2 linked regions of the Caenorhabditis elegans genome follow. The protein of the gene in region 1 interacts with the protein of each later gene in a biochemical or structural test. Each region holds a gene or a part of one and is shown on either strand. Other genes may lie near its edges.

What was found.
Region 2: the proteins of tkr-1 (region 1) and nlp-58 interact in a test that uses a peptide from one of them, tested with the Caenorhabditis elegans proteins (one large-scale study listed by BioGRID).

The regions. Positions count from the first base shown.
Region 1 is NC_003281.10:9,377,131-9,394,716, forward strand, and holds tkr-1 (putative G-protein coupled receptor tkr-1), read left to right. Parts: upstream 1-6,665; 5' UTR 6,666-6,670; coding exon 6,671-6,789; intron 6,790-6,992; exon of another isoform or gene 6,993-7,041; coding exon of another isoform or gene 7,042-7,225; intron 7,226-7,276; coding exon of another isoform or gene 7,277-7,363; intron 7,364-7,407; coding exon of another isoform or gene 7,408-7,924; intron 7,925-8,301; coding exon of another isoform or gene 8,302-8,390; intron 8,391-8,438; coding exon of another isoform or gene 8,439-8,467; exon of another isoform or gene 8,468-8,513; intron 8,514-8,678; coding exon 8,679-8,978; intron 8,979-9,043; coding exon 9,044-9,167; intron 9,168-9,228; coding exon 9,229-9,308; intron 9,309-9,354; coding exon 9,355-9,502; intron 9,503-9,922; coding exon 9,923-10,113; intron 10,114-10,166; coding exon 10,167-10,345; intron 10,346-10,395; coding exon 10,396-10,475; 3' UTR 10,476-10,574; downstream 10,575-17,586. Other genes in the region: C38C10.3 (uncharacterized protein), read right to left, coding at 7,042-7,225, 7,277-7,363, 7,408-7,924, 8,302-8,390, 8,439-8,467; putative transporter slc-17.2, read right to left, coding at 10,703-10,885, 10,937-11,119, 11,168-11,359, 11,413-12,123, 12,196-12,383, 12,878-12,902; gpr-2 (G-protein regulator 2), read right to left, coding at 14,279-14,499, 14,552-15,159, 15,210-15,710, 15,764-16,011; rgr-1 (Mediator of RNA polymerase II transcription subunit 14), read left to right, coding at 16,974-17,117, 17,169-17,586. UniProt on the Caenorhabditis elegans protein: Not known. Putative receptor.
Region 2 is NC_003283.11:9,940,325-9,956,597, reverse strand, and holds nlp-58 (Neuropeptide-Like Protein), read left to right. Parts: upstream 1-7,657; 5' UTR 7,658-7,712; coding exon 7,713-7,799; intron 7,800-9,759; coding exon 9,760-9,957; 3' UTR 9,958-10,014; intron 10,015-10,083; 3' UTR 10,084-10,277; downstream 10,278-16,273. Other genes in the region: mam-5 (MAM domain-containing protein), read right to left, coding at 1,079-2,328, 2,380-2,540, 2,973-3,094, 3,138-3,199, 3,412-3,567, 3,774-3,828; ttr-46 (Transthyretin-like protein 46), read right to left, coding at 4,543-4,715, 4,781-4,862, 4,912-5,051, 5,219-5,363; sre-28 (Serpentine Receptor, class E (Epsilon)), read right to left, coding at 10,703-10,907, 10,952-11,076, 11,124-11,246, 11,433-11,589, 11,733-12,205; fipr-12 (FIP (Fungus-Induced Protein) Related), read right to left, coding at 12,986-13,196, 13,246-13,259.

The sequences.
Region 1 (17,586 bases):
TTGATTTTTGTCAATTTGTTCTTGTCGTAACGGACCGAAATTAACTTTTATTCAATCATTCTCGTTTTGCATATTTTAGAATTTTGACGTATTTACATCAATTAAGACACAATTTAGCCAAATGGTATATATATTTAAAAAATTTGAGTTCTTTCCAACTGAAAATACATGTATACATTAACCAACTTGAAGTCTCGGAACAAACGACCTAATTGTTAAAAATAGAGTACCTTTTTTTTAAACTGAAAAGGCCACTACGACATGGAACCGTTGGAAAAATTTACTTTTTTTCTCGAAAATTTGCTATACAGAGGCCCGAAGCGGCATGAGACACGCGGCCGAGCCTGCAGGGAAGACATAATTCAAACCCCCTTAAACTCTAACCCTCATTTTGATAATGTCTCGGTCTTTGAAATTTATGAGAAATTTTTGATCTTAAACTGAAATTGAAACGTGGTGTGAAAAACAAATCCAGGAAATTCCTAATAAACCAAAATGCTAATAACAGAAGGAAAAGGTTGTTTTTTTCGCTGAATCTCACTTGTTCGACCACTAAACACTTTGTTGTTGGTCCGTGTTTTGCACTCCCGTATTCCCACGTGGAATTTCAATGAGCACATCCTTTTATTTTTTCCGTCGATCATACATCGAATTTTTCATCGTGGTGTGATCCGTTTTAAAAGTAGGTGTGGAAAAATTCAAAGAGATTAAAAAGCTCGTCTGTGCTTGTTCTTATTAACTGCAGCAAAAAAAACAACAGAAAAGTGACATGAAATTAATTTTTCCTTTCTTTCAATCCACCCCCATCGTCATATGTGCCTATATATTTAGTGTCAGAATCAAATTAGTATGTGTATGTGCATCTTATTTTTCGGAGATTCACGACTTCCGCCCCTGTTTGAAATATGTGAATCGGAAGATCATGCTCTCTGATCTCATTTTTAGTCTGAAATCAGTCAGGTGTGAATCTGAAGAATGAGTTTTTAGTATTCCAATTGATGGAATGAGATATGGATTTTTTTATTTCTTTATTCTTTTATGATTCTCCCCTTGTACTAGTACTATTGGTTAGATTTTTTAAAGTTTTCACTCTAGTTTTGAGAATAGACAGGAAGTTAATATTTTATGAATTCGTTGATTTTTCTAAATTTTAAATTATTTTTATACAATCAAAATTTAGTGGAACTACAATAAATATAATTGTTCAAATTTACGGTTTTATCTTTGCCGGTGAAGCGCGATTGCACTCATTTAAGTTTGATTAACACTATTTGGCAAGAATGATCCCTTGGAATTTATACTCCAATTAATTGCCCGCCTTCTTTTCAAACCCTCTTCATCTTCTAGTACATTTATTCCAATCGCTGAAATGAGTTTGTTTGGGGAGATATATCCTCCCTTTTTCCCTTTTTATGACTCTCTTGTACTATCAAAAAGATTTCTCTCAAGTTGAGTGACACCGGATTTCCATCCCTTTTTCCTTGTTATTCTTGTCACACGAATCCGTCCGTCCCCTCAAGATTGTTTTCTTGTTGTATCCAAGCCACGTCATATGCACATTGTTTTTTTTTGGAGCATTCTAAAAAACTGTCGAATACTTGACATATCACCCTGTTTTTGTCTGACGAGGGGATCGAAATTCACCGAAATTTCTTATGCGTTTTTTGGAAATTAGTGAAATTTTTGGTCTACTACACTATTCTTCGTATTGTGTGTGTATTTGTGCCGTTTACAGCGACTTTTAAGAGAAGTTATGCGGGTTGGTCTCTAATTCATTCGAAAGAAAAATAAACTTTCTGATTATGCGTCTTTGAGATTACTGTAGAACATTTTCCGAGGTGATAAAACTTAAAAAACTTTTAACTTCAAAACTCTGTGGCTTTTAAAAATTCCTGTCAAGGGCTCGAATTGTTTTCTATCAATCAAATTATGCTCGGCTAGTGCTCACTTCTGACAACTTTTTTTCTCAGATTTTTAATTTTTCGGGTGTTTTCAATTTTTGGTTTTTTTTGGTGTTCTCTGTATATATATATTCATCAATGTTTTAACTAATAAGTTTCGTGATGATTAGTTTGTTTTTTTTTTCGAATTTTTAAACATTGGCGGCTCTGACGGCTTATTCGATGTTTTTAGGTTGTGTTAGAAACAGTAATCGTAAGTTCCGGGTTACAATATCTGTAATTTTCAGATTTCTTGATTCCGGTGAATTTTTAAAAAATTTTCAGTTCGTAATCTAAGGATTTTGTCTAAATATGTACACTTATAATAATCCAAAATAACCGAAAAAAATTCAGGTAAAAAAAATTTCTTGAAAATTCTAGTAAATTGGCAAAAAAGTATTGGCCTTTCTTTGACAGCAAATAAAAAAAGTTTTTTTTTTAATTTCAAGCTTTTATTTGGGAAAGGTTAAAAAAATTCTCTACCTTCAACACGTTTTTTAAATGTTCAATTCAAAAAGTTTGTGGTCAAAAGTTCGAAAGTTCAAGTTTCCAAACTTCTCCATTCTAATTGACATTATAAGGCATTTGATATGAACCTTTTTTGAGTAAGCTCAATGTTTTCAGTACTAAATATCCTTGAAACATTCGGAAATTTAGACGAGTACACATATTTGCCGTATGAGATCTAATTGGACCGCCTGGGGCCATCACATTCCAATTGGAAACCAATTGATTCAAAAAGAGTTTCCATTTTTCTCACCCACAGTTGTTTGGTCTTTTGAATTCATAAAATATGGCTCTATTCTTGGAAAAGGGCGGAAAAAGAAAGATCTTGATTATAATAAAGAGTTTTTGGAACTCGAGGTTTCAAATTATGAATTGAAATAATTACGTAGAAGAAATTCAAAATTAGAATCCTCGCTTCCTATTTTCAACGGAAACTGAAACCCCTGTTGGATCAAAATAATAATAATATATTCATTGGGTTTGTAATCAAAATGGTAATTCTGTGTATAATTTCCACTGAATTTTCACTAATTATTTTTTGGAATTTTTCATTTCTTTGTTTTAGAGCATGGCAAATATTATGATTCGGTGTCCGGGAAAATTTATTTTCTGTTCGAAGTAAAAAAATTTTGAAAGTACATCCAACGGGATCTAGGAAAACAAAATTATGGTGTTTTGGTAGTAGCTTTTGGAAAAATATTTATGAACTTTGTTGTAATTTTCGAAAAGGGTGAACTTTGGAATTCGTGCAGAAATTTTCTGTGAATATATAATAAGTTTATTCAATAAGTAATTTGGAAAATCGTAGTAAATAGCCTATTTTCGTGAGGCCTAAAAAATTCTGAAAATTCATTTATCCGGAAAAGAACTCCAGAACAAGGGCAGATCTTTGTGGGAGGTTCGAAAAAAGGCGGTGAAAAATATGGCCACACCCACAGAATTGGTTCAAGTACTGGTTTTGTTGGCGTGGCTGTTGACTTTGAGCATCAAAAATTTCAAGATACTTGTGAGGAACATGTTATGGATATGTCGTCTGAATCTGGTAGTTTTCCAGTTATTACTTAACGTATTTTCTTTATTATTGCACCCCATTCTTAAACTTTGTCAGCTTATATCTTACAATTAGTTACATTTATTTTATTTTTCTACCGTTTTAAAGTTATATTGAAATGATATTTTCAAAATATACCGAGATATAACCTATCAAAATGAATAGCAAAGCAATCAAGCAGTTTTTATTGTATTTTTCATATCTCTATAATTCCAACCAACTTAACTTTATTTTAGTCTCTTATTCTATAAGTTATGCATAATGTCTCGTATTTCGCGTTCCCCTTACTCCTTGTAAGTTTCCTATTTCTAACACTTCTAAGAAGCACGAGAAATGGTCCGAACAAGAAAAAGAATGCTCATCTTTTCAGTCGTTGTGTCCATTGTGCCGTTGTTCGTCGTTGTTCTTCGAACTATCCTCTTCTTCTTCTGTATTTAAAATTTCGAGAATATTTGTACCTATCTACGTACGTGACAAAGAAAATGTTTGAGATCACTCCTGCGCTTTAAGATGTAGCTTTTATCATTGGAAAAAGTATATTATTAATGAAGACCTAAAAATGACAGCAGAGGAGCACTTTGAATTTTGAATATTCAAAACCACTTTCGATCTTTGTTTTTCGTGGAAAAAATCTGGAATTTTTTAAACCCAACTCAATTTAAAAAAACATGCAGTGTTCCCAAATTCACAAAACATACTAAATTTAGAAGATCAACTTTCCCAAAACTTTCCTCGCAAGTTGCATTTTTTAAACCTGTATTTAGTGAAGAAACAACTTTTAATAAGCGAGTATAACAGCTAATTTTTTCAAAGAATTTGTGATTCTTAGATTTTTTTTTCCAGTGTTTTTTGCAGTGTTAGTTGTGTACCTGCTCGATGAAACACGATTCAGCTTCTTTCAAATATTTCATTTCAGATTTTTTTTTCGCCGTTTTCCCCTAAATACCCTTTATCAGCCCCACCTGGGTCCCATTTATTTTGTTCCAATTTGTTTTTCCTTTAAATTCGTTTTTTTTTCTTTCTCTTCCTTTTTCAGAAACAACGACAGCATTCCTCTCTTTGTCACATTCTTGTTTTGATACCAGAAGAGGATATAATATAACCAATAATTATGAGATACGGACTCTGAATCCGCTTTTTCTTTTCTCATCTGCTTCTCTATGTAAATTCTCGGCTCCACCACCACCACCGTCGTCCTTTGTCTAACTTTCTGAAAACTATTTTAGAAAAACTAAAGATTGACAGAACGACGATGGAGGCGGAAATGAGAGAATAATGAATCAGGCTCCACCTCCAAATATCCGTCTTTTCGAACCTAATGAATTAGAGTACTCTTCTGTTGGATCTATGTGATGTCACAGATCTCATTACAACTTCCTTTTGACATTTGATCACTTTTTTGACCGGCAAGGAAGAATATTTTTAAATCAATCATAGGATCTGTTACAATTGTAGTTTGAAGTCTGTGTTTTAGTTAAATTTTAAGGGTACTATAGAAGTGTAGAATCTCAATTTTGAAAATGTCTTGGTTTTTTCTGGAAAAGCTTCATAAGCTTCTGGTCTCTTTTGAAAGGTTCCGCAAATTTCTGAATATTGGAGAAAAACTCTAGGAAATTTCGGAAGTGTTCTGAGAAGCTCTGGAAACTTTCATAAACTTCCATTTAGTTTGAGTTTTTGTATAATTGGTAAAAATGACAAACCTTCCGTCTGCAAAACTTTTTGAAACGCCTAAGAAATTACAGAAAAGCGTCTAAATTATCTGAGTTCAGATATTTTCAAATTTACTAGTACAAGTTGGAGAGCTCTCAGTTTTTCAGACAAATATGCTTTCAATTCGTAGTAAATTCTACCTATTTACGTCATTTTTGGAGCGTGCTGTTGAAATGTGTTTTTTTTTCTCTCTGCCTTTTTTATTTATTCAATTCAAAATGAATTCTGATACAAAAAAAATTCATAGAACTTCAGAAAATTGAAATTCCTACAGAGTCATGTTGGACTTGTTTTTTTCTGAAATTTAAGTACTATTATTTCGTTTTCCACCAGCTAAACTTAAGCGGTTACTGAAAAGTATCCGTATTTTTTAAAGTTAAATTCAGTTTTCACAACACTTGGAGCAGATTTTAATCAAAATAAATTTGAAAATGTTTCTGGTAGAACACCTAATAATGTTTTATCTCTGGACACATGTCTAAAACGGCCTTCGCCTGCCTTGTGCCTACCCCACATTAAAAAAAAATAGAATCGCAAACACTGCGCAGTACGTTCTTTCAATTCACCTAAGCTTCTACTTTGCTGTCAAATTCGTTTACCAGAAAAATGCAAATTAGAAATTCTCAAATCTACATAGGCAGTCCCATAGACAGGCAGGTATGATGTGTGCCTAGTGACCTGACTGTATTCCATAAAAAGCATTAGGATAAAGAATATAGAACTACAACCACTTCGGATCACTAAGTTATAACGTGACATGAATCTATTTTCGTTTATGCTGCACTTATCAGACCTCCCCCCGAGGTTCTAAATTGTTTTTTTTCACTTACTTTTTTTATTTTGACTTCTGAAATCTTATATAACTTGTCGCATATTTTTCAGTGGCACTATGGAAAGTTGCCGGACTATTTGACATTTAAAATGAACTCTCGAGACAAATTTGAATGTACCCATATTGTCTGTCTCAAAACAAAAGTTATTTCTGAATAATTTCTACGATTCATGAAAACAATCATTTTATCAAATTAGGTTTCATTTTCTCCCTATTAATCAATTTTGTTTTTCTTCGACTTGCAATTTTCTCAGCCCAGTTCTCAAAATTTTGCTGACTTCATTCGCTTGACTTCTTGGTATTCCAAGAGGAGAACCTATTCCTGAATTCGTGATTCAAGGCTCAGTTTGTTGAATTATTTGTGGTTACAACCTTCCCCTTCTCAGCCGCCGCCACAATCACCAAATTCTGAGCATAGACACCAAACACCTTGCTCTTCATCATCTCACCTTTCTGCAAACATTTGAGCTTTTCACAAATTCTTTGTTTTAAAACCCTTATAATTCAATTTCCCCTATTTGCAAAATTTCCGTATTCATTTCCTTTATATAACTTTGCTTTTTTCAGACTCTTTTTTATTTTCAAACTATTTTCAAGCTTTCAAATAGTATATAAATAATTTCAGACGCAATGAATCAAGAATTCTTAATTCAACTTGGCGAGCGTGCGTGTAAAAATGCTGAAAATCTTACTCTCCCTGCTGAACTCGAGGGAATATTCTTCTGTGCTCCAAGTTCCAGAGAATCATTGTAAGTACATAGAATAACTTAGTCTTACATCATATCTGTTACTTGTTTGATCACTAGCCCTATTGAAATGTCTAAAAGATTCAGTGAGCCCTGGTCAGATATTTGAATTCTTAAAATGTTTCTGACGTCTGACATGAAAACTACATCCTTGATGAGTTAAGGTAAAAACAACGTTCTTTGACATTTATTGTTTTTGAAAAAAACAATCATCACAAAATCTTCATTCACATATTCACTGTAGTTCCCATAGTCTCACTTCAACTTCATATTCTTCTCAGTAACATCCACAATGATTGACAATTGAGCAATCGATTGTGTAGTAGCCAATTGAGCCAAAGTCTTGCTCATGTCATTTGCTGAGACTGGCTTGGAATCCGAGTAGTTGAGCTCTCCGATACAATACGACAGACGAGGATTGAAGTTTTGATCAAGAAGTCTGAAATTTCTATAAAAATCAGATTTAAAAACCCAGAAAATAAAAACTTACTGGCGACAACAGAGTTGATGGAAGTTGATAACAACTTCTTCCAAACGACAGTCCGAGGGAAACTCGTCAGTAAACATGGACTGAGCACTGAAAAAGTAATTTATACAACTTTTCACTAACTTCTAGCAAACCGTCTTTGGAGTACATCACAATGAAGAAGCAGAAACTTGACATTAACCATTGTAACGTATCTAGCAGATCCTGTCGTATGTCCCGATAAGTATGTATAAGTCGGAAGACTTTTCTTAGAAGAAGCATCAGACATGGATGAAGAAGAAGTATTCGATTGAACAATCACCTTCTTTGGATCTTCCGTAGAAAGTGCAGATGGCTTCATTACCGACGGAAGAGTAAAATACTGATTCGATTGTTGAATATTTCCGACTTTCAAATCACTCTCCGAAGAACTCGACGGTCTGGCCAGAGTACGTCTTTTCCTCTCGCTCGATGTAGTACTACTGATCTGACTGACAAGACCGGATGAATTCTTGACAGCAATATGTGGTCCTGCAGTCATCTTGTTCAGATCCTTCGGCTTTTGGTTCTCCTTTTGAACGGGTTCCACGTTTTTCTGATATTTGTTGTAAGATGTCGGAGATTCCAGTGGTTCACGTGAAAGGACGATGGTGTATGAGTGAAGAGTTCCATCTGAAATAGTTTAAAGGTTTGAGTGGAGAGAAGTGGGAATGCTAACAGGAACGTAAATAGACATCACTTTTTGCTCTTTCATTTTATTTACATGTCCAACTGAACCTATATCATATAACGAGAGGTAAGCCTGAAAGCCAAGCGCTAATTTTCCTATTTCGAAATTAGGCATTTATCTTTGGTATATATTATCACGACAGAAAGCCTACACCCAAATTTATAAACCGGAAAACCTAAGCCTACTTTTTCAAGCTTGAAACCCCAAATCTAAGGAACGGAAGCAAATTTCGAATTTACAAAAATCATGAGCAATTAGCGTTGTCATTTTACGAATCACTGGGCTGTTTTCTAGCACATTCTCAGACCTGATAACTTACCGTTAGAAGTTTCAATATTATGCTTATGTGTCGAATATTGATAACTCTTATCATTGATTAGCTTCAATGCAGGAGGAAGATTCTCTTGACTGAAAACAATCAATTATGTACAGCAATGAGAGATTTCAAGAGCTTACCCCATGTAATTGGTCATGGTCGAATCCATAACTTTTCCTTATCGCTGCAATTGAATCGGAAACAAATTGAAAACTGAATCGAAAACTCTGGGGGATGATTATTTTTTATCTTTACGTGTAGGTTCAAATAAAATATTTTTTAATTGAGTACATATTACGTATTTATTGATTTATTTAACAACAATATGTTTTAATTAAATAAATAATTGAAATTTAGAAATCCAATAAAAATAATTTCAGAGCAACTCAAGTATTTGTGGCAATTGCATTTGTCCTTCTGATGGCAACTGCAATAATTGGAAACTCTGTCGTGATGTGGATAATTTATCAACACAAAGTAATGCACTACGGCTTCAACTATTTTCTTTTCAATATGGCATTCGCTGATCTTTTGATTGCTCTCTTCAATGTTGGTACTTCATGGACCTATAATTTATACTATGACTGGTGGTATGGTGATCTATGTACACTTACTTCCTTCTTCGGTATTGCACCAACTACCGTATCCGTGTGCTCAATGATGGCTCTCAGCTGGGATAGGTAGGTTCTTTTGAAATTTTTGAGTTTATTTCCCTTTGCACAAAGATCATTAGTCAAAATTTCAGATGTCAAGCAGTCGTGAATCCTCTACAAAAACGTCCACTATCTCGAAAAAGATCCGTCATTGCTATTCTCATCATTTGGGTTGTTTCAACGGTTACTGCACTTCCGTTTGCAATTGCTGCATCTGTAAGTTCATCTATTCAAAGCAAATTAGAATTTATCATTATTCTTCTTCTTCTTTTTTCAGGTCAACTCTCTCTACACATATGACGTGGTTACATCAACTGTTTCAAAAGCTCACGTTTGTTCAGCACCAGTTAATACTTTGTAAGAGATCTGAAGTCGAATTGGGAATGAATTTAATTTTTTTCAGCTTTGAAAAAGTGCTCTTTGGGATTCAATATGCTCTACCTATAATCATTTTGGGATCAACGTTCACACGGATTGCCGTTGCATTTCGAGCAACAAATGAAGCCACTGACAGTAGTCTGAAGAACAATCACACACGCGCAAAGAGCAAGGTATATTTCCTAACTGAAAAAATACGGTTCCCGGTCTCGACACGACACATATTAGTTTAACGCAAAAAGGCGTGCGCCTTTAAACAGTACTGTAATTTGAAACTATCATTGCTGCTGAGTTTTCATAGATTTTTTGAAAAGTATTTCGTTTTTTTAAACTATCAAAAAATCAATGAAAATCCGGAGCAACAAAAGTATTGAATTACAGTACTCTTTAAATACGCACACCCTTTGCACTTAACAGAAATATGTCGTGTCGAGACCTGGTACCGTATTCTTGCCGCAAGAATTGGAAAATGTTGCGTCCAGGTAATAGTAAGTGTTAGAATACGGAAAAATCGATCAAAATCTGAAATTCTTTGAACCCACATGTTTAAAATGAACCATCATTTGGGAAATAATTAATTTTAAATTCTTTAGGCAGTAAAAATGCTCTTCCTAATGGTCGTTGCATTCGTTGTCTGCTGGCTTCCATACCACATTTATCACGCATTCGCTCTTGAAGAATTCTTCGATGCAGCTCGTGGAAAATATGCGTATTTGTTGATTTACTGGATTGCAATGTCTAGTTGTGCATACAATCCAATTATTTATTGTTTTGCCAACGAAAGGTAGCACTAATGAATATCATTAAAAAATGTTAATTATTTGTAAAAATGTTCAGATTCCGCATTGGCTTCCGGTACGTCTTCCGATGGATTCCAGTGATTGACTGCAAAAAGGAACAATATGAATATTCACAATTATTCCCGGATAAAATGAGAAGTATGGCTATTTCTTTGCAAAAAGGAAGAGTGAACTCTTCCTGTTTGGATAAAAAAGTCAAAGAGAATTCTTCTCAAGGTTTGTAAAATAATCTCTCAATACAAACATCTGATATTCTACACTTCCAGATTTGGTTTGTGTGATGCATTCCGAGAAAAATACGAAGAAATATTCAAAAGTACATCTTCTGAGTTGCCATGAACGGTGATTGAAACGTGTTTATTTTTTGCTGAATCATAGCTTATGATATTTTTGTATATCAACGTTTGTAACTTTGGATAAAATCTTAATAAATACTGAAACGAAAGTGAAATCTTTGGTAGTGGTACAAAAAAATAAAGCTCGATTGGTTTCAAAGACATATAATGATGCAGGTTGTAATAAAACAAGAGCCTAAATAGAACAGAGAGAGATTAAAATATTTAAAAATGATGATTAGGCGGTTGCCAATTCAATCTTTTCTCCTTCTCTAAGTGGAGCCATCTCATGGCCTTCTTCGGCGGTCAGCTTAGCCCATGGTTGTACTTCTCCAGATGCAAAGATTGAGAACAACAGAGCTCCAATTGTCAAAATTCCAGCAGTCAACCATAGAACCATTTGCCATTCTTCTTGAGTACCCTAAAATTGGCATTTGAAACTTGAATGTTTGTTCTAATTTTCTTATCTTACATTAGGTGTCAAGTAGCTGCTGACAGCTGGTGAAATGATACCAGCAAGTGCGGAGATAGTATTTCCAGTTCCCATCACTGTTCCAGAGAATGGTGGGGCGATTTCGAGGTAGTTCACGACAAATCCAGCATACTGAAGGCCAGAAATAGCCATACCGCAGGTAATGAAGATTATGACGAGGACCTGAAACCAAGATATTGAAATTTATCATTTAAAATAATTTTAGCTTACATCTTGTCCACATCCACAGTAACCTGAAGCCACGAGGAAAATTCCCTGTCCGATGAGAGCAACCAGCATAGCAGCTCTTCTGGTGTTCAATGTTGAGAGGATTCCCTTTGATCGTAGTGTGTCAGCAAGGACTCCACCTGCATTAATAGCCAAAAAGTATGCAATGTATGGAATGGAAGCAACGGCGCCAAGCTGAAAAATGAATAAATATTATGAACCTTTTTTTATTTCAGCATTGAACTTACAGATGAAAGATTCAATCCAAGGACATCCTTTAAGAATGATGGAAGAGATACAAGCATCGTGTATGCTCCCCAATCACCGGCAAAATGTCCAGCCCAGCAAGCCCATACTGCAGGAGAAGTTAGAATTTTGATCCATGGAGTTGATGGCACTTTTCCAGTATCTTTTCCCATTGAAGCCTCGACGGCTGTTACGATGTATTGTTTTTCTTCAGGTGTAATTCGAGGATGGGTAGCTGGTTTGTCAGAGCTAACATACCACCAAACAGCAGTCCAGAGAACACCGAAAACTCCAATGATGTAGAAGATCGACGGCCAGCCACCATCAAATCCGTACTCGCAGAGGAATCCAGAGAGTGGAAGTACAATTACATTTCCGATTTGAGCGCCAGCATATGTAACTCCAGTTAAGACAGATAATTCCAGAGGTGGTCCCCATACAGACCACATTGTGTGCATTGCAGGGAATGTTGCTCCTTGAAGAAATCCGATTGCGGCACGAAGAATAGCCAGAGCATATTCAGATGTTCTGGCAGCGACAGGATTTAGCAGTGTAAGGAGCGCAGATCCAAGAATCGTCACGAATACTACTCGCTTTCCTCCGTAACGTGAAGCTAGATGTCCTCCGATAATTTGACTTCCAATGTATCCATAGAAAAACGATGAAAGAACCATTCCAGTTGTTTGCTTGTCCCAATCGAATTCTCCAATCACCTAAAAAAAGTTGCATGATTCTTTATCATTCGGTTTTCAAATTGTTTTTTTTCATCACTGAATAAACCCTACCGAGCTGTTGCTCTCCACAGGTGTCATTTCCTTTCCACAACGAGAGACCTTCTCCACTCCTGTGTCCGTCTTATTCTCATTAACCATACAAACAACTGCGAACGACATATTCGTACGCATCATGTAGGTGACAAGACATCCAAAAAACATGACCAAGGACAACGCAAAACGCGTGGATGGCACCAGCCCTGCAAAAAAGCGTTTAATCATTTATCTTTTCTTCTTTTTTTTTCTTTTATGAACTTTTTTCGGTTTTCTTCTGGTATCTGTTACACTCTCCGAAAGTCGATCATTAATAAATCATTCGTCTGCAAACTTCAGAACAGTTTGGAGAGTCACGACCAAACTATCAATTTCGGGTGCCTGTCAGGGCTAAATAACATTTAATCTTGTTAAAATTTTTGAAAAGGCTTCGAATAGTACCTGAAAGTTGCAATTTACCGAAAAATTGTTTTAAAAACTATTAACGGCAAACGGCAACTTTCAGGTGCCATTTGAGATTTTTCTCAAGCTTTTCAACAAAATTAAATATTATTTTCGGATGGAAATAACTTTTTATACATTTTAATTTGCCGCACAGATCCGGTGTATGTGTTCAAAATTTTAAATTGTATTTGGTCTTCATAGTTTCTACGTTTTTTCCAAAAAAAACTAAGTGGTTTTTACTTTACGATCAACTCACTCGGTTTGGTAGTAGCCCCTTCCATAATTATTGGCTCGTCGTCGAGAGCTTCTCACTATTTTTCGTATATCGACGAATCCGCTGGGAACCGACTGACAGCCTGAAAACAAAAAATCAGAAAATTCAAGTGATAACAAAAATAATTGAAATATGTTCCTCGATCAAACATATAATGTGGTGAAGAAGATAAGAAATGCGGCAACGTAAAGGAAGAGCCGCCCAAGCGGCAGGCCAACTCAAGAGCTCTCAGGACTAATTGAAATTCGTTGAAAATCGGATTTCACTACTTGGACAACAAGAGGGTGAAACTCAGATGACGTTGTTTGAGATAACTGCTTCTCGCTAAAACAGAATAAGAAGAAAAAACAGAAGGCGCGGTGAGACACATGAGAAACAGAGGGCGGTTATTTGGAGCACGGCTAGCGCGCAAAAGTGATGCAATGTGATGAAGCTGGTAGAAAAATGGAATAACAGAAAGGGAATTTTATAATTGGAAAAAATCACCATACTTTCGTGAAAATATTAAGAGATTTGTGTAAAGTGCCTGACCAGTTAATAATATTTACAATGTTGGGTAAAGAGCGTAGGCATAATTCAAAGAGCACCGCCTCCAAATTACATGTTTTCAGTGGAATCACGCGTTTATATTTACCTAAAACAAATTTTCTTTTAAGCTGACCGATTACCACACTTCTTATACTCCGAAATTTCGTGTTTCTATTGATAAGACGGTCAGCGAAAATGACCAAATATGATGGGAAGAGCATTTTCCCATCAAGATTCTGATATTTTTTGAAAGAAAAGTATTTATAGAAGGAAAAGACTAACGCAATTGAATGAAAAAATAAAGAAAAGTGTGTCAGAGAAAAGAAAAGGTAACCCGATACGACAGTTTTAAGAATTGCAAACTTTACGCCCTCCAATGTCGGAGATTTGAGCGTTCAAAAAAATTGTTCACGTATTTCAAGTAATATCATATTTAGCCGCTCAAAAGTATTTTTAATAGGAGAAAAAACATAAATCATTTCGGGTCTAGGTTTCGCCTAAAAACTGAAGAATACGAAAGGATGCAGGAGAATGGCGCTCGTTCCCTCGGACGCTGGCAGTCTCCATCTCTCTGCGTCTCTTTACTTTCGATATCTTCCGGATTCCGAGGTCACTAACCATGAGCTTTTGAAATGACGTTGGGAGGGCACGTGGGGAAGTTCAGAGAGAATAACAAAGTTCTATAAAAGTATGACTTGACGGATATCGCTAATTGAAAAAAATTAGCTTTACTGACCATCAAATAAAATAAAATTATAATAAAGAACAACCACTAAAATAATAATAACATTTACTTAAAGAAAGTAAAAAATAAATAAAGTTTGATTGTATTATTTGACAGAAAAAATAATGGTCCTATTTGGACGTCATTGTCACATCATCGCTTCGAGTATCATCGCCCTGTATCGAATTTGTAGAATCCAATGACGATTTGCTTTTCTTCGACCTCTTCAGGATCCTATTCATTGTGTGACCATCGAACTTCATCGACTGCACTTTTGTCCAATTGGCACGGAGTCCAGGGAGAATTCTGTGGCTCTTTGTAGTCTTTTTCGATGCCGATGACACTGGACGAGCTGGAAAAATATAAATTTGCATACATTTACGCTTATTTGTAATATTTCTTACGCGGAATGAATCTGGCAGCAGACAGTTCAGTTCTCTGATCATCCATACGCGAGCTCATACTGAAAATGAGATCCATCATGTCTACGGGTTCCTCGTTCTCTTTCTTTTCGATCGCTACTGGTTTCTTCTGGTCTTCAATGATTCCGTTGACAATCATTTCCCAGGTTTCAACATTTGTTGCGTGCTCCAGTTTGACGACGAACTTATTAATCATGTCATTCGAGGATGTCGGATCAGGAGACGAATCAATTGCGAGGCATGCATCTTGATCAGTTGCCGTTTCGCTTCTCTCTTGATTCATCGCCACGTCGATCTGCTCGTAGAACAGTTTGAAACTGCTTTGGTTGATGGTCAGAACACTCCCCAAGATGATAAAATAAGCAGCTTGGCGTCTTTTTCCAAGTGCAATGAGACACTTTGCGATTGTAAGCAACACATCTCCAATGTGTTCGTTCAATCCAAGCTTCCGAATCGATACAAGCGCTTCCAATCCGTAGAGATATGCTTCGTGGAATTCGCCATTTCTCAGCATCTCTTCGGATAGCTTCGACTTATATTTGACTACATCTCGCTCTTTTCCGAATTTCGTGGCGTAGAAGAGAGCACTTCTGTAAAAATAGAATTGACATTTTTATTAATCGTTAAAACTAAAAATTACCTGAGATCTCTGATAATAAAGAAAAGAAGATATGTCTCAGCATAGAGAGCCTTGTCGTAATAGGCGATGTGAACTGCTTCAAACTGGTCTGTTTTGATGGCAAAATCGATGCATTCTTGATACTTGCGACGCGATTCCTCGTATTTTTCGTCGAGTGACAAGCATTTCGCCTCAATTAGCATAATTTTGGTCTCAGACACAGCTCCTTCCGTATTATTCTCGTTGAACAATTTCACGGCTGCAATCTGTTCAGCACATATTGACAAAAGCTTCTTCTTCTCATCTTGATTACTCTCGACGTCTCTTTCACATCCTTCGAGGCACACGGAAGCGAACAAAATTCGAGCTTGACCGATATACTTCTCTCCGTTCTTCTTATTGCTGGTGTAATCAATGAGATCCTCAGCAAACCGTCGAGCCTTGGAGAACTTTTCCATTTTGAGTGCCTGCTGGACGATGCGACGTGTGGAATCACATGCTTCTGGGTAGTTGAAGATCAATCTGAAAAATTAAAGTTATAGAATGCCCAGCCCATTTCCGTTTAATTCACTTACTTGAACATGTTCAACTCATGTTCGAAAAACTCCAAGGCCTTGGCGTCGTGGTTCAAATGCCTGCACACTCTTCCGTAATACATGTAGATTGTACCAAGCAGTTGAAAATTGGAGGTTCCGAACTCCATTGTGTCCTCTAAGCGTCCTTTTCCATCCTCGTATTGTCCCAATTTCATGGCCGTCACCGCGCTTTTCAGCATTGCTTCGATGACTTCATCCTTAGGGCCATCATAATAAGAGACGTCCATTCGTTTTGCGAATGTGGAAACTTCTGAAATAAATCGAAAATTGCGAGCAAAAATAAAAAAATAGAGGAATTTTACGCAAACAGACAAAAATTTCACGCGGATCTGCACGAATACACGAAATATTTAAAACGGGGAAAGTTTCTTCAAATATCTCACGAGGTTTAATAGACTATTACACATTTTGTTTAAAATTTTACAATTTTTCAATAAAACAACCGCTGAAAAACAAATAAACTTGAACAATGACTCGAGAATCTCTGTGGGGAAGTGAAACTTGGCGGTTAACGCGTTGTTTTTTCGCGCGCTCTCAACTTCTAATTTAGCGCCGCTTTCTGATATGTCGTCAAATGTGTTGCCGATGTACGCAAGTACACCATCACGCGCATTTGCACACTCAGTGGAGTTTGCAAACAAATTTTCAAAAATAAATTAAATACTGTTTATTGTTTAATTTTATGCATATTTGTACAATTTGAATGTTATAGTTTGATTAAAACTATTCGAAACATGTAAATAAACTTTAAATTTGTAAATGTGTCGCTTCCCAGACCGTATATTGTGTATTCTTCAAATAAATATGTATTTCGCAGAAACTGTCTTCCCAACTCCGAGCCGCACTGGCGGATAATTCGCCGGCTGCTCCAATATCACCGGCTCCATCTGGCTCGGCCTTGTCACTCGATGAGTCGTCTGGAATTTCAGACCGCGATGTACATTCTTCTCAGGAACAAACGGCACATCTCTCCGAAGTCGATGTAAAATCGATTCATTCATCGGATAGCGAAGATGGTATGCTGCAGTAGAACAAGGAAGATATTTATTTTCTATAATTTCCAGAACCAGCGCAAAATCCCTTACCAGAAGTTCCTGCAAATTGTGGCCCTCCGACGATACCTCTAAATGTTCTATTAGACTTTGCAATTCAACATGTTTACCACGAGATCACAGTTCTTGCGGAATTGATGCAGCGGAAGACAAATGATCAAGGAGAGCAGGAGCGGAAAATGTCTCTTGTACATTTTGCACACGCTACTCGCAGTCAATTTTTGAAACTTGTAGCATTAGTAAAATGGATACGGATTTCGAAGCGAATGGATGTTTGTTATGTAAGCTTAATTCGCTCGATTTCGATCGAAAAAAAAACATTAATTTTCCAGTCTATCGACTACCTTCTCGATCTCCAATCACAATATTTCATCGACACGGCCGATCGATTAGTCGCAATGACTAGGGGAGATCTCGAATTAGCTCGTCTTCCAGAATACCATATTGCGCCAGCTATTGATGTTCTTGTATTAGGAACGTATAATCGAATGCCATCGAAAATCAAAGAAGCTTTCATTCCTCCAGCAAAGATCACACCGAGAGAACAGAAACTCGTCACTTCCCGATTAAATCAGCTCATTGAAAGTCGGCTTTCTCGACTTTCAAGCGGAATCCCACCAAATATAAAAGAAATTCACATCAACAATGGACTTGCAACTTTACTGGTTCCTGGAGAGTTTGAAATCAAGATTACATTGCTCGGTGAAACAGAAATGACAAAGTGGACTCTATTGAATATCAAAATTCTCG
Region 2 (16,273 bases), on another chromosome or scaffold:
TTTTTCGTGACTATTTACTAATGTACGTAAAAAATTTGACAATTTTTTTTTCAATTCTGAGCTGAACTTGAAAAAATATCCGAGCGTAAATCTTTAGACGACCCAGCTCAAATGGAATCTATGACTCTTTTTTTGAGGAAGCTCTTTCCAGTTAGGTAGATCATTATTAAAATCACGGCTTCAAAACCTACTCACTTTCCTTCTAAAACAACTGGACAATCTTCATTATCATCAATACAAACTCTGAATTGTCCTCGTATTCCTGCTTGATAGACAAAGAAATCAACTCTTGCCGGTTCTGTTATAGTAACTGGTTGATTTGTTGATAAAATAAAAGTGTCACCAGGAGTTGCTGTTGTTCCACCGGCATAAAGAAAATATCCTCCTGGAATGAAATTAAAGTTTTAAATATACTAATGATCTGAAACCTTTGGAAAGATCAGATGGAATTCCTGTCAATGAGTTCAAGACACTGCGATTGGAAAGTGCCCACTTTTTCAATAAGCTTCCATCTTCTGCGCTGACATTTGTTGAGCTTGTCAAATAGTTGCACAATGTCTGAAATACAATAATGACATTAATTTCAATCAACTATGTGCCTACATTATCATCAAAATTACAATCCACATTTGAGCATATTGAAGCAAACATTGGACCAGTCCTTGGACCTCTTAAATCGTTGCTTTTTCGCTTCTCATCTTTCATGGGATTCGTAATTTTTTGGCTTGTTGGGGCTCCATAATGAACTGCTCGAGTTGGAATAGGAACTGATACACTCTCAAATTGATTGATTGTCACATCATTTCCATCGAAATCCAGTAACTGGGTTGGTGATCTTCCTGGAAGACCAACTTCATCGAATGTTCCTCCAGCACCTTCCGATGCTCCACCACTGGTAGATTCTGCAAATGTTAGTAAATAGGAATTTGGATTAGTAGAAGATTTGATATACTCAAAGGATTAAACCATATAAATAACATAAGAGAAGGTTCATGAGAAGAATCTTCATACCCGTAACAAAAAGTCATGAATATAATTGATAAAAATCAAAAATCAAAAACGGAATGTTTCGTAAATATCAATTCATTCTCTTTCTTGCAGCTTTTCTTTTCATCATCTCAGCCATCATTTTTCTTGTCACTTTCATTGGAACTATTGGTGGTGGCAGAAGCCTCACATCATTATTTTCCATTGGCAATCCCAATGTTCTTCTCATCAATCTCTCCATAAATTGCGTTTTCAATCGACCAAATCCACCAGGTTTTCGAATATCTGACAAATCCATTCCTTTAGTCAATCCATCTAAATCTGGAATATTTCTCAATGATGTCAGATCTTGTACAGCTCCAGATGGTAAGAGTTTAGCTATATCAGCTAACTTTCCTGCTACCTCTGCTTCACCAGAAGATGGTTGTTTGAAAATTATCAGTTCGGTGGATGATGGAGGTAGGGTGGATGGAGTTGTTGTGCTTACTTTGAAAAGATTCTTGTGATATTCTTCGATATTTTCAACAGGTGTAGATGGTGTTGATGACGGAATCTTTTTAATCGGATTAATATTTATTTTCTTCTTATTCATCAAGTTGGGGGGATATATTGATCCTTCTGGGAACTTGTTTGGTAGCCCAAAACTATTTGTGTTGTCTGTATTTCGAGCAATAGGAGGGTGAGTTGTAGTCAAATATGGCGAGCTTTCTTCCCATAATCCGAACTTTTTGGCAAGATCTACTAACGTTTTCTGGTTTTCTTGATCATTATCAGTGACTAATGTTGGTTGATTGGTGTTGTAGAAATGAGAAGAAGCCACTGGACTTCTTCTCACATCAATTGGAGCTGGATTTGATGGTAGTGTCCCAGGCGGTAAAATATTCTCAGATGGAGAAGATCTCGGATCCAATGCAGTTAAAGATCTAACTAGAGTTGGGATATACGGAATAACTGGAGCTGTTTGCTTCAAGAAATTGACAAAATTAGCAAATTGCTGCTCATTTGATATTGTCGAAGTTTGATTAGAAGATGAAGTTTGTGTAGTTGTCGGCGGAGTCGTTGTTGTACTTGGTTCGCTACTTGTTGTAGTAGTTAAAACTTGTGCTGTAGTAGTTGGGGCAGTTGTACTACTCAAAATTGATATCTTAGCTTCAAGTTCTAAGGGAATATCAGTTGTAGTTGTAGTTGTTGAAGTACTACTAGCAATTGAAGTATTCAATTTATCTGCACCATCCTGAGCGACAATTAGCATCAACTCTCCGTTGTATAAATTAGAAGATCGGTAAGATTGCCAATCGTGGTAACCAATTCGTCGAATTTCACGTCGATTACGACCGTACCCTAAATAGTGGGCAACAGAAAAATCAATAAATTAAACATTCAGATACTAACCGCAAAGTGTTGCCTCGAATACAATATTATCCAGAGCAATGACCGAGCTTGGTGGAGAATATATAGTTTTGAAAACAATTTCGAAGGGTTGAGCAATTGGGGGAAGTTCAACGGCACGGAATATCCATTGTTTCCCAAAGGTGGAAACTCCATCGTAGCATCTAAATAATTATGAATTAACCGTAAAATATTATCAATTTACTATACTTTTTACTATAGTTACTATACTTACTATTTTACTACTGATTTACTACTAACTACTACTAGCTACTAATAATTTACTAATCTGCTATACGCTGTTCTTTAGGTGAACTGTTGCAATGATCAAAAGATGAAGATATTTTAACACTTATTATTAGCACTGTCTACTTTATTTTTAGATTCAGTTCAATCAAATAGAAAAGATACTTTTTGGTAAATACTCCAACAAAAAATAACGAAATTTGTGATAGCACATGACAGAAAACCAAGAAAACAAACAAAAAATGATCTAGTCTATTACATATTTTGAATCCAATACAAAGTTTATAGTGCACAGAACTGATGAAACTTCGGAGTTATTTCAAATTAAAAGTAAAACAATTGGTTCTCACCTCATCTGGCTCAAGTCTTTATTTCCTGGAGGCTGACGGATACAAACTTCTAGTTGTGAATCCAAACCAGTTTTGTAATACCAGTATTTTAAACTTGCACCTCCAAGTTGACAGGTTATTACCTAAAACGCTATAGCTTTTTGGAAAATATATCACAAAATATACCTCGGAAACGAGAAGAGCCATCATTCGTCCCATCAATCCCGCAGTAAATGCAAATGGTTTCGCTGAAATTGTCTTAATTGCCAATGTTAATTTTATGATCCTGATGAGAAATCACTTTTTAAAAAAAAGAAGTAAAATCAGAATTAGTAAAGGAAGACTTTCGTGTAATTCATTAATATCTAATTCTTGAGCTCAATTTTTTGCAATGAATGACAATTCTTAGAAGGTAATCTTTTCTAGAAGACAAATATCATGAGAAAGTATGAAGACTTACGATTATTTTCATCAATGGGCATTATTCGGTTTTGAGCATCGGCTTCAAGAAGCGAAGTCGTTTCAAAATGTCCACCAACATCGGATGAGTTTCTCCAACGACAAGTTGTCGTAAAGTCACAATTCAAGTCAGAAGAGGATGAGATTTCAGTGTAAACTGAAAAAAAAAAACTATGATGGTCATTTATGCTACGAATTTTTAGTCTTGCATACCATGGCTCTACGTCATTTTGAGAATATTTTTTCTGTGGAAAATATTTGATAAAATTAAAGAAAATATTCAACCGAGAACTGTCAAAGTAGATCAATTGGAAATGCAAGAATAAAAGAAAGATTACGGTTTATATTAATTCACAAAAGTACCTGGATATATCAGAAACAATAACAATAATATCCATTTCACATTTAAAAGATCCATACCCAAGTAGCTGGTATGAGAGAGGTAGTAGAATATTAGCTGAAGCTGGCCGGACAAAAGATCGGTGACCTATAAGAAAGTGGACAAACTGGAATCGCATCGCTGTCTCGTGGACTCTAATTACCCGTTGGAAACGAACAGTAAGAGAAAGTTGAGCGATGAGCGGAGAAAGAAAGGTAATTGAGAGAATATGGTGACAGAAAGACAATTGAAAGGATATTGGTAGGTGAAAGGGGATATGACAATTTCACAGAAATACAATGTTTCGGGAAGAAAGAGGAGGTTGCGTGAAGTGTGAAATCTGCATGCGAGGACTTGTCATGAAATGCATAGGATACTGCAATAAGTTCAAATTGAAATCTGTATCTTAAATTCAATAAAAATATCATTATTAATTTTCCAATAAAAATGTATGTTTCATTTTTGTAGTCGTTGAACTTGGTTAAAAATACATTGGCTAACGATTCACAAATTCCTTTTACAGTTTTCGAAATGTACTTTTCATAGAAATATTCAAAAGCAATAACCCCCATCCAGCTTGCAAATACAATGTTATCTATCTTTCTATTATAATAATCTTATCCACTTTTATAAAACAATAATTTTATTATCATAATATCATATTGTTTTCAGTTAAAGAAAATAAATGAAGCCCAATGATTTTCAGATATTATCTGAAACCCTTGTGTGCAGTATTGAGAAAATGATTAATGTCTAGAAAGTTTCCACAGTCTTTTCTTTATCTTCTGATTCTTCACTGCTTTTGCTTTGATCCTTCTCAGAGTTATCTGGATCCATATAATCGGCATTGAAACCCCCTCGGCGACGTCTGGATACAAGAAGCTCACGCTCTTCCTTAGCAAAAACTGTTTCGAGGTTGAGCACTCCTGAAGAAAGTGAATGACGCATGTGAAATCACTCAACCATATTGCTTTCTGACACTTTCACTCACCGATGTCAAACGTTTTCTTGGCCACTTTTCCGCTAGTGATGTAGCTTTTCGGAAGTGCGAGTTTGACCTTGCGAGCACCTGGCTGCAACAACATTCAAAGTTATTTTTGCTCAAAAACTTCAAACACCCACCTTGAGCTTCGAATCATCACATTTGTGGTACACTTTGAATACTGGATCAATTGGAGTCAACTCAGCAGTACCTCCTTGAAGACTAAATTCACCATTAGCATCGGTATAACCTTGGTCAAGGAGATCATCCGGGTCTGGTCCTGAAATAGAATTGATTGACCATAAAATATTCGACGGAATGGTTCTTCTCTAACTAAATTTTGATACTGAAAGAGTCAATCAACAAGTAACTTTGGATAGTTTGATAGCACTTTCAAGAAAAACCACAATTGTCGTACATTAAGGAAAACGATTAAAAATGCCTTACCAGTATCCTCTTCCCATAACTTGACACGAACATTGGCTGCTGGTCCATTCCCACACAGAAGGCGTCCCTTTACTGCAATCGACTGATCACGCATGGCTGCGGTAAGCCCGAGAAGGGCAATCAGTAAGACGAACAACTTGTTCATCCCTGAAACAGTGAAAATTAGAAAATTGAATTTATAAGGCAAGAAATCAACGAGAAGGAAAATAATAATGCTTTTGAAGTTTTGGAAGTTTTTGAGCGATGTTGACGACTGGGCTCTTATCATAGATGGACAATAAGTCTTATCAAAATTGAATTTAATGTACGAAAAATCGGAGTCTCGGTTTGTCTGTTTTATTATGTTTTTTTCCTCTCCGCCCATCAACCATTTTCTCAAAAGATCATTGGGTACTCACAGGGACACATTACTCGGGAATGTATTAGACAACAGTTGCTGTGTTTTGATGAGTCATTTCAGTAAAAGTCAGTGTAATCTCAAAGTATAATAAAATCAAATAAAGTTAATCCAATATTCTTAGTTAAAAAAATAGCAGTGAATTAGAATTAATATTTCCGCTTTTGACATTCCGTCGTTGCCGTTTTTCCTTGAAAATATTCATTTAGTGAAATCAATCAGTGCTGTGTTGTTTTTGGTTTTATCATAGTTTGAGACTGAATTTTGATTACTGAAAGTGCTTAACATAAAACAAAATATTTTCAAAAAGATGAACAGTATTTTATTGGCTTCGTTATTAGTAATGATATCATTCTCTCTGTATTGGTCTATGGAAATGCAGGGTTTGATTCTTATAAAATAAATTCTTCAAATTTCACACTGAACATTACGGCTCATAAAATTTCAGTTATTCGTTGGGACTGCTGAATTAACAAAAATTGAGCCAATTCTAAAAGTTGCTCATAATTTTAATGTTTCGGGGGAAGTGAGTCTAACTTTATATTGTCTAAAGATTTGTCAAACATCTTGAAAATTACAAGGTCTCCGAAAAAACTTTTCAATAATTTCCGGATTTTAAATAAATTTCAAGAAATGAAGATAACTAAATATTTTTGTTCAGCAGTCTAGATGACGTGAGGACAGGAAATGAAAACATTTATACCTTTTTAAAAGTGCAAAAAGATTTATGGTCGTTGAACCTTTTAGTCTGGTTCCAGTGTTTAGCTTTCAAAAAATGTCAAATTTCAAATATGAAACCTAGGTGAGCTAAAATTCAACTATTCCGAAAACACACCAACTTTCATTCATAGACAATAAAATGAATACGAAGGATTAAGCAATCAATCAACAACCACTGTGCTCAAATCATTCTCAAAATTTTAAGTGCTCGCTAAGACACATTGGAAAAATTCAAATCCTTAGAAAAAACAAACGAAAAAGGGAAATAAAACCCATGAAAACAGAACGAGAACTAAATAATTTTGAATTCCTGTCTGAAAATGGTGTACGGTGGTAAAAAAATTTAGGTTGGCACATCATTGCCTTCCTGCTTACTACTCTAGTGCCTGCCTCGTGCCTACGAGTACCTACTGCCAAAGCACTAAAGCGCAATCAAATACGGAAAATACGAAGGTAGTCAAGCAGGTAAGCAGAGGACAGGTACCTATTCAGGATGGCGTGACTACTTATTATCAACCATGGAAATCGTTGTAATTTCTTAGTTTAGTAGGATAGATATTTCATTTTCTCTTTTCGGTTCAAGTTCTTCAGGATTTCTATATCATCATTGTGCCAATTTCCTTTATTTTTATTCCAAGTAACATTTTATTATTTAAAAGATCATCGGCATTCAAAAAAACAAAAATAAATATAGTTTTTCTCGCGGGGATGCCCCATCCATAAGTGCTCGTCGGTTTGCCGCAACTTCTCAATCAACTTATCAAGGCCAAGTTGGTTAAAGTTGGGTATGGCCAAAAATTCACTTTCAAAAACCGCCGAAATTTGACTGAACTTGGTTAAGAAATTTCTTGTACGTTGAGGTGTTGCGATGTGTTGTCGAGTGCGCGCCCGTTTCAGAGAACTCATCAATTAAATTATCTTAATTCAAATAACTAAGAAGTTACTATCACATTTTTATATTAGTTTTTTCAAATTGTGATGGTCACTTTAAAGCATTGACAGACACATTTTCCTTAGCTCTACTATAAGAGATTTTATAAAAACAAAGATTATTCTTAAATCTTAGATAAAAATTTTGAAGGTAACTGTTGTGTATGTTCCTTGACGTCAGTATAAAGATCAAATTAGGAAGTGTGCCCATCGGAAACAACAAATGATAATTAATGCTATGATATCAAACCTTTTAGCCTTTCATTCACCTCCTTCATTCAAGTAATCCCAAGTTCTTCCTGGCCTTTTTAAGCCTCGCCCCTAAAAAACTGCTCGCAGAAAGTGGGCGGGGCTATGTTGATGAAGAATAGAGTCTCCTTCTCCTACTTCTCACTTTTTGTGGACGTCGTCTTTTCCTCCGACGCCTTCTTCCATTCATCTGCCGTCATGATCTCCAAATGTTCTGTGATGGGTCTTCTTCTGTTATTGTTCGTACACATCACCACAGCACAATTCGAAACACACTTTGACGATGTAAGTTATTTGAATGATTTGGCCTAGAAGTTGAGAAGTCCTTCGGGATTTACTGTAACATTCGCAAAAAAACTTGCCGACAAACACTCAATCTTTTCTATTTTTTCTTATATTCTCGAAAAAAAAGTGCGTACATTGAAAATGAAAAAGCATTTATCAAATCCGAAACGAATCGGGCGATGATGGACGATGGCTGAACGATGTAGTCATAGGAAAGTCTAATAACTTAAAATATTTTTAGAGATCATATAAAAGTGATCAATGGAACATTGAAAGAAAAAATCACAAAAGAAACGCTAGAAAATAGATTTCTGAATGATAGCAAATTTTGCAGTATGTAAATTGAAAATATCACTAATTAAGATATTTCCTATTTCATTACAATATGAAATTCAATTGATTCAACTTATATATAATTTGACTTTTTTCAAAAAGTGGAAACATAAAAATTAAAACAAAAATGTTAAATTTAAATAAAAAATGCTCATCAAATTTAAAACCTCAAATGCAAGCTTGCACATTACGTGATTCATAACTTTTCACTTAATAGTCTCCTAGGAGATACTAGAACTCGAATAGTTAACTAAACTTTTCTTTTTGTTTTGAGAATGTCTGTAACTCTGATTCTGGAAAATAACAAGTGAATAATTTAATAAAACTGCAATTCAATTTGTCAGATTTTTACAGGCTCAGTCAATTTGTTAGGTGTATTCAAACGTTTTTTTCTCAGAAAATTGAGTACCATGAAATTTTATTTTCTAATGGCTATAAAGTAAATATGTAGTGCAAATTATGAAAATCAAACCAATCCTTGTAGTTCAATTAAATCGACATCCTAGGCATAAAGCACATATTACAAACATTATCAGTATTCTTTGTTCTTTTGTTTAAAAAGGTCTCACACTGCCGGGTTTCCCTAATTTCCTTTTTCTTCATTTCCTTATTTTATCTTAATGGTCTACATGTCTGAAAAAAACATCCTGTTAGTCATAAAACGTGATTATTTTGAAGGGTTTCTTTCAATTCGTCAGTTGAATTTCTGACCTCTTTGAAATAAAATAAATAAAATATAGGACCAGTTTGCAGAGAGAGTTTAATTAAAATTTCAATTATCAATACTATATAAGTATAATTGCATTGTAATTTGTTTATTGCATTGTTCATTGCATGTTTTCCTAAACTATCAAAACTTCAATTTTGCATTCAAGCATTGAAAACATCAAATTATGAATTATTCATGACTCTATAATAACTTAAAGTCTAACTTTTTTAATTCATACTCCCAGACACCACCTTCAATAATATTCAATAAGTTGAAAGATTTGATTTTCCATTCTCCTCCTATTTATTGTATTTGCTTCTTGATATTCTCCTGAGGGACCAAAAAATTAGATAAAGTGCTACTGACTTTTGTAGGTGCACACAAGCGGAACCGGAAATTTCCTTCAACCCGGTTTACGCTCCAATTGTGAAATGTATAAATTTCGTTTTTCTGCTTTGAAGCACTTTAGGATTTGGGGGCGGTTTGGAGCTTTTTCGGGAATGAGGGAGGTCTAGAAAAACCTTCGTCAATATAGGAAATTGAAAATTTTTGAAAAAATGCAGCAAGAATTCAATATTATGAAAAATTACATGCAATGTAATTCATTACTTGTTGATTCTTTTTATTAAAAAAACTCTAAAAATATGATTTGACAAAAACGTTTTCCTATTTACGTTTTCTTCTGAACCTTATTGCAACAAATAAGAATAAAAATGATTTCATTTTTACTTCCGGATCAGAAATTTATCAGATAACATAACTTATTTGAACATTTTCAAAGTAAAATTAACTTCGGAGGTGATGTTTTTAGCATTTCTTCTCCTTGCCAACTTTTAATAGTAAACTTTTAGCGCACGCGTAAAGTCAAAAAGTAAATCTAGTGAAGCAGTAATAAACTGTATAGTATCCAAATTACAGGCACAAGTATACTGGCCTTCTCAATACAAACGAAGTGGACCATCATCAGCTTCTGAAGGTGAAGCTTACGCATTCCCGGGCCTTCGTGGTTTACGCGGAAAGAGGGATCCAACTTATCACAAACGAGTGCCAATGATGTCTTTGAAAGGACTTCGGGGTAAACGTGCACGTATCTTTGATGGACAAGAGGAACAATAAAAATAAATAGAACAATATCAACCAGCAAAGGAGGAATTTCTGTATTTTGTGCTTGTGGTAAGTTTGAAATTGTATTGTTTGTTCGTATTGTTATACTTTTTAAGATAAAATAATTTCAATTTTCAGATTAACTTACCATCACGTTGAAATGTGTGCTCTGATTCCAACCGGCTCTTAAATTTTTTTTATTGTCTCCCGTACTCTTTTCGTTTTTTTTCTAGTTTGAATGATTGCATTCTTGTATCATTCTCATCATGACCCAATCATTCACAAAAATTCTTTATTTCATAACTCTGAAAATGAAGTCATCTGAGTTGTTGTTTGATGTTTCAAGTACTTCTTCAAAAGCACCATTTATGCAAATTGTTCCTGTTTAGTCGGCTTGGGAAGACAAAGGAGAAAAATAAGGTGACGGGAAAAAGTGTCCTTTATTGACATTTTAGAAGGGAGCTTTTTATAGTTTTTTTTTGGTTGTTTACTTGTCAACCAAACATGAAATTGATGGATGGTGTAGTGAAGTTTACATGTTTTTTGTCGCCGGTGAATACATTTATATAACTTTGGTGTGCACCCATCTGTTATGATATGAAGTACAGTACAGTGCTCGCAACAAATAAAATCACAAAATTATATTCGTGTTTAATTGTTCTTTAAAATTGGTATTCATTAAACAAGTGTATTTCTACTTTCATTTACACTTTGATGAATCGCTGGAAAAATTAAAAGAATAAATATTGATTAACATTTAAACCCAAGAGTCATTGAGCATTTTGAAGTAAGTTTGAGTTTCAATTTCAGTATTCTTTCTTGAATCCGCGATTGACAGAACTGTTGCTATCTTCACTTTTTTGGCAATTCCAAAATACCGACAACACGGAAAATATTTTGTAAATTCATTTCTCCACGCATGAGTGCTGTACATTGTGACTGTGCATATAAGGAATGGATTTCTGAAAAAATTAAAGGTGGATGTATTGTAATATAAAAATCTCACAGGTAAATGCAGTTTTCAACAAAATGACATAAAAATGGTGGAACCACTTCAAGAATGAGCGCAATAATCCCAACACCACAAACAACTACAGTCACAATAACTGATATAACCAATCTCCTGCCAACCTGAAAAGAAGATTATAACTGATTTCAAAAATGAAATTTGAATTTACTCGTAGAGCACGTAAATTCTCCTTCACTTGAAATCTTTGGGAAATAGTGAAGAACTTTTTTCGTCTCGGGCTTTCCATTTCACATTGCCAGTCGTTATTTATTTTCTTGATGACAAGATGAAGCTGGAAATAGTAGCCAGAATTTGTTGAAATGTTATCTACTCAATCTTTTTTTATTTTATTTTCTTCTCTTTTAAAAAATACCATCAAACTATTGTAGAAGACAATTTTTAAAATACACGAATGCAGTTTTTTTAGCAAAAAGTATTCAAACTTTCCAACGTCAAAAATTACTCACTATCAACTTACAATTACTGATATTGCTCCAGTGAATATCCAAAAACCATTGAATGCGAGTATTCCAATTATTTCAAAAAGATTTCCCAATGCAACAGTAATTGAAAAAAATTGTGTTATTGCAATGAGTACAACAGGAATCCAAATTTGTGTACTTTTTTCGTAATTGCTGAAAAATTAGTTTCAAATCTCTTTTTCTGACAAATTAACGCTTTTCCGTGTGTGAAATTATTAAAAACGTTTTAGAATTATGTTAATTACTTGTTATAATTATAGAGTACATTAATTTACAATTTAATACTTGAAACTTACTCTATCAACATTGAAGCAAATATTCTTTCAATACAAATTGCAAGAATACCAAAAAGCATTGAAAATATGTAATGCCACTGAATAAAACCAGACAAAATCAACATTTCAAGTCCATTGATAGATTTGACAACTAACATTTTTTCAGTATCAGCTGTATATAAAGCAAAAAAATATATTTCATGATCGATAACTTTCAATATTTTTAAATTATACAGCATTACAATCATTTTCCCAATAATAGCCTCGTACCAAAGTCCAAACATTGGAATTGATAAAATTATAAAATTATAATGAAACAATTGTATTTTGAGGTACACTTTGAGGCAAACGCTGTTAATATAAAAAGCGAAAAAATAAAAAATAAGTTCAGTTATTGAAACTATAATTCTCACAATATCGGGTTCATTGTAAAGATAAACAGGTAACCAGAAATAAGAAGAATCCGTTGGAGTTTTCTCCAATTTTAAAATCATGTCTTGGGTTGAATAATGAACAAGAAAAACTTTATGAAGAATAAAGACAATCTTTGATTTTCACCTGCTCTCCTGTTTTTTTTTGGTATCAGAATTTTTGATGTGAATGCCAGCGGGACGATTTTTGAATTTCAGCAGAACGGAGCGATTTTATCACGTCATGATATGAAAACCCTCGGTCACCCTTATACAATAAATAAAGATTATTTCCTCGAAATTGTTCTCATTTTAAGTAAAGAAGCCCCTTTCAAGGTCATTGCTGGCAAGTTTCAGAAAGATCTAACTTGACAAATCAAAAATAAATTGTTGGCCGAGCTTTTACATTTTTTAGGCCACGTAGCTAAAGACGCTCTGTGAGTGTGTGAGCAAACTTTTACAAACCCATGTCATTTAAAAAAGTAGATTAAATAGCTAGGCATATTTTCGTCGAATTGAATAGCTGCAAAAAGTTAGGATTTTACGCAAGTTCTGTGATTTTTTGACTTCGAAAGTGGCAAAGACTTTTACTGAAAAAATTCAGATCGACTCTTTTCTTTGTTCGAAAAGCTCCTCTGTTGTTAATTTTCTGTTGAACCTATATAATATATGCAAATATTTCTCAAAAATTATAGATTTATATTCCATTAAGCAGGTGGTTCTCGCTGTTGATCAGTCAAAAAATGTTCAGATTTGTGACCTTTTACGGTTTCGTACTCAAACTATTATAAATTTTCATTTAAGAAGCAAACTAAAAATGTTGTTTATCCATTTATTGTGGTTGAAAGATAGAGAAACACAGAATTATTTGGTTTGCTGAGTTGGGCCAAATCCAGCTTCTCTCTTTCCATAATATCCATATTCCCCGTATCCATAAGCTCCACCATAGTATCCATTATATGCTCCGGGACCATATCCTCCATAGTATGTTGGGTAATATGAAGAGTAACCATAGTATTGAGCACTTGTTTCTTGAACAATTGAGCACATGGCAAAAGCCAATACACAGAGAAGGCTGAAAATTGGTTGCATTGAAAGTTATAAAATTATTGAAAACTACTTACAATTTAGCGTTCATTTTTAAAATAATCAGAAGAATAGACGAGTTCTTAATTTGAACAAAGGAGAACAGACCTTTTTATACTACTGCCTAACTATTTGCTTTAGTTTTACCATTTTTCGGGCAGAAAGTGTCAAAGTTGGTTGACTTACTGTTCAAGAATCAATTTACATTTAGATATTTGCAGCTCATAATCATTCAAATGAGTCAATGATGAGAACAAATTGGAATGGCAAAATGAAATAAAGTTCCGAAATTAATCAAACTTATTTTCCAACTTCAGGACTCTTGTGTTCTTGCCAACCTCGGCCTCCGGTAGAATTCTAGTTTATATTTAAATCTCTAGGGTCAGCTCACATGATTTTAAAACAGAAAACTAAAAACTATAGGTGTATTGTTTTCACATCATCATTTCTCATTTCATTCCATCATCAAAATGTACATAAACTGGGCTCATCACTATATTCCAAAAATCTTTGCTTCCTTTGCATTTATAATAAATCCAATTTTTGTGTATTTGCTGTTTACGGAAAAATCAAACAAGTTTGGCCATTATCGATATCTTCTGCTATTTTTTGCACTATTCAACATATTCTACTCCATTGTGACCATAGTCGTACCAATAGTAATGTCTTTTTTTCACAACTTCTTCCTTTGCTCTTCATAGTTCTTTCTAAGATCAATTTTCCCAAAAACTGAAAATCGTCAAAACTTCCAGGACATACACACCAGGGGTGTGCGGCAAATTTGCCGAATTTGCCGAATTTGCCGAGCACGGCAAATTTCAAAAAAGTAGATTTGCCGAATTTGCCGAGCTCGGCAAATTTCGAAATTTGCCGCACACGTCAAAAATTTGACAGTACAATTTTGACTAAAACTGTTGATTTTTTCGCCAAAAATTTAGTAAAATGACAACAAATTGAGTTATTTTGATGTTTAAGCAGACACACTACACCTAACTTGTTCAGAAACCAGAGGTGTGTTAAGAATTCAGTAGTTTTGATGCTCCAAAAAATATCAAAAAATATATAATTTTTCCGAGTTTGTTAAGCACGGCAAATTTGCCGAATTTGCCGAATTTGCCGAGCTCGGCAAATTTTGAGATTTGCCGCACACCCCTGCTTCATACCACAACAGATTGAACCAATTATCTTGTTTCTAGGAAGCATCAGACGACGTTATCATAAGATCTTGGATAGCAGTTGCAGGAATTTCATTATTTTCTATTGATTTATATGCAATCTTCGGCTTTTTGGTTAGTTAAATCCTGAAGTAATTTAATTCAATTCTGATTATTTAGACAATGAGCAAACTGACCGAAAACACGTTACATATGAGTAAAACCACAACAACCATTCAAAAAGCTCTTCTTAAAGCTTTAATTGTCCAGACAATTATACCGATTTTTGTCATTTTTTCCCCATGTATTCTTTGTTGGTTCAGTCCAATTTTCAACATTAATCTTGGAAGGTAAATCAAGATATCCGGATTCATTTGGCTATAATTTAAATATTACAGAGGATTTAACTATCTTGAAGTATTGGCACTTTCAGCATTTCCATTTTTTGATCCATTGGCCATTATTCTCTGTCTTCCTCCACTCCGGAAACGTGTTCTCTTCAAAAAATCAAAGACAAATATTACTAAAAATTGTGCTCTCAATTGATTTTTAACTGACGAAAACTTAATCAATGATTCCATTGTTAATCTTTTCTTGAAATTTCAAACTTAAAAATGGATACGTTCATCCAAGCAATTAATTTTATAACAAGTCTAGTCAGTTCCAGGCTCCGTTGGGGATTTATGAGTTTCAACTTTTACAAGATCTGGGATGTTCAGAAGACAACAATGAATTATGTATCTTCAGAAAATTCCTTCCCTTCGCAGGAAATAAACCCCCCCCCCCCCCCACATACATAGATACAAATTTAACAGAACATATTAGGGGTGTCAATAAGTTCCGGGTCAAAACTCGTAACTTTTTCCGTGGCTTGTATTTTTTTGATCTTCGAAAAAAATTTTTTTTTTGAACGAATATTTTTTTAAATATTTATTCTATTCTTACATTGTATACTTAATTTATCAAAATACACACATTAGTCTCAAAAAAAAAAAAAGAAGCGAGATCGGGCAGATGCCTGAAAAAAGTGACTCCGAGCTAGGATACATGGGGTGTTTTAATGTATTGTCAAATGAAAAACCATGTTTGATAACATAAATTCCCACATTTTCAGAAAAATTGATTTGCCACGAAAAAAATTATGAATTTTGAACCGGAACTTATTGACACCCCTAATAGGACCCACGGGGCCAATTAAGTTACGTTTGAATAAAATCGTTTTCTGTTTGTGGATTACTGCAATAACAAAACCGGATGCTATACTAAATTGAAACCTTTAAGGAAAATACTGAGAGCATATAAAAAGAAGCGAGTTCTTTTATTCTTACTTACCTGACAGTTTATCTCTGTAATGTATATTAACTGGGCTCATCATTACATTCCGAAATGTTTTGCATTTCTTGCTTTCATTGTAAATCCAATATTTGTTTTCTTGATATTCACAGAAAAAAAACAAATTTGGCAATTATCGTTACCTTTTGCTATATTTTGCAACATTAGACATTTGTTACTCAGTATTTACCGTAGTTGTACCAGTGGTGAGTAGGTAATTTAAATATTCTTAACTTAAATAATATTTTGTAGGACATTCACACATATCAATACTCTTTCACTATATTCATAAGTGATGGATGGTTTTACGAATCATCTACTCTTGGAATTGATATGATTGGTTCAAGAGTTGGCATGATTTCTGAATGTTATGCAGTACTTTTAAGTCATTTCATTTATCGATATCTTGTCATTCGAAACAGTTTTGTTACAAAAAATTTTAAAAAATATTTCCTATTGACCATTCTTCTGTTTTTATTTTATTTCACATTCTGGAAATTGGTAACAAAACTCGTGAAACTTCATTTTAAAAACAGTTTTCATTTATCACAAACATGTGCGTGGGTGAATCCGGAAATGA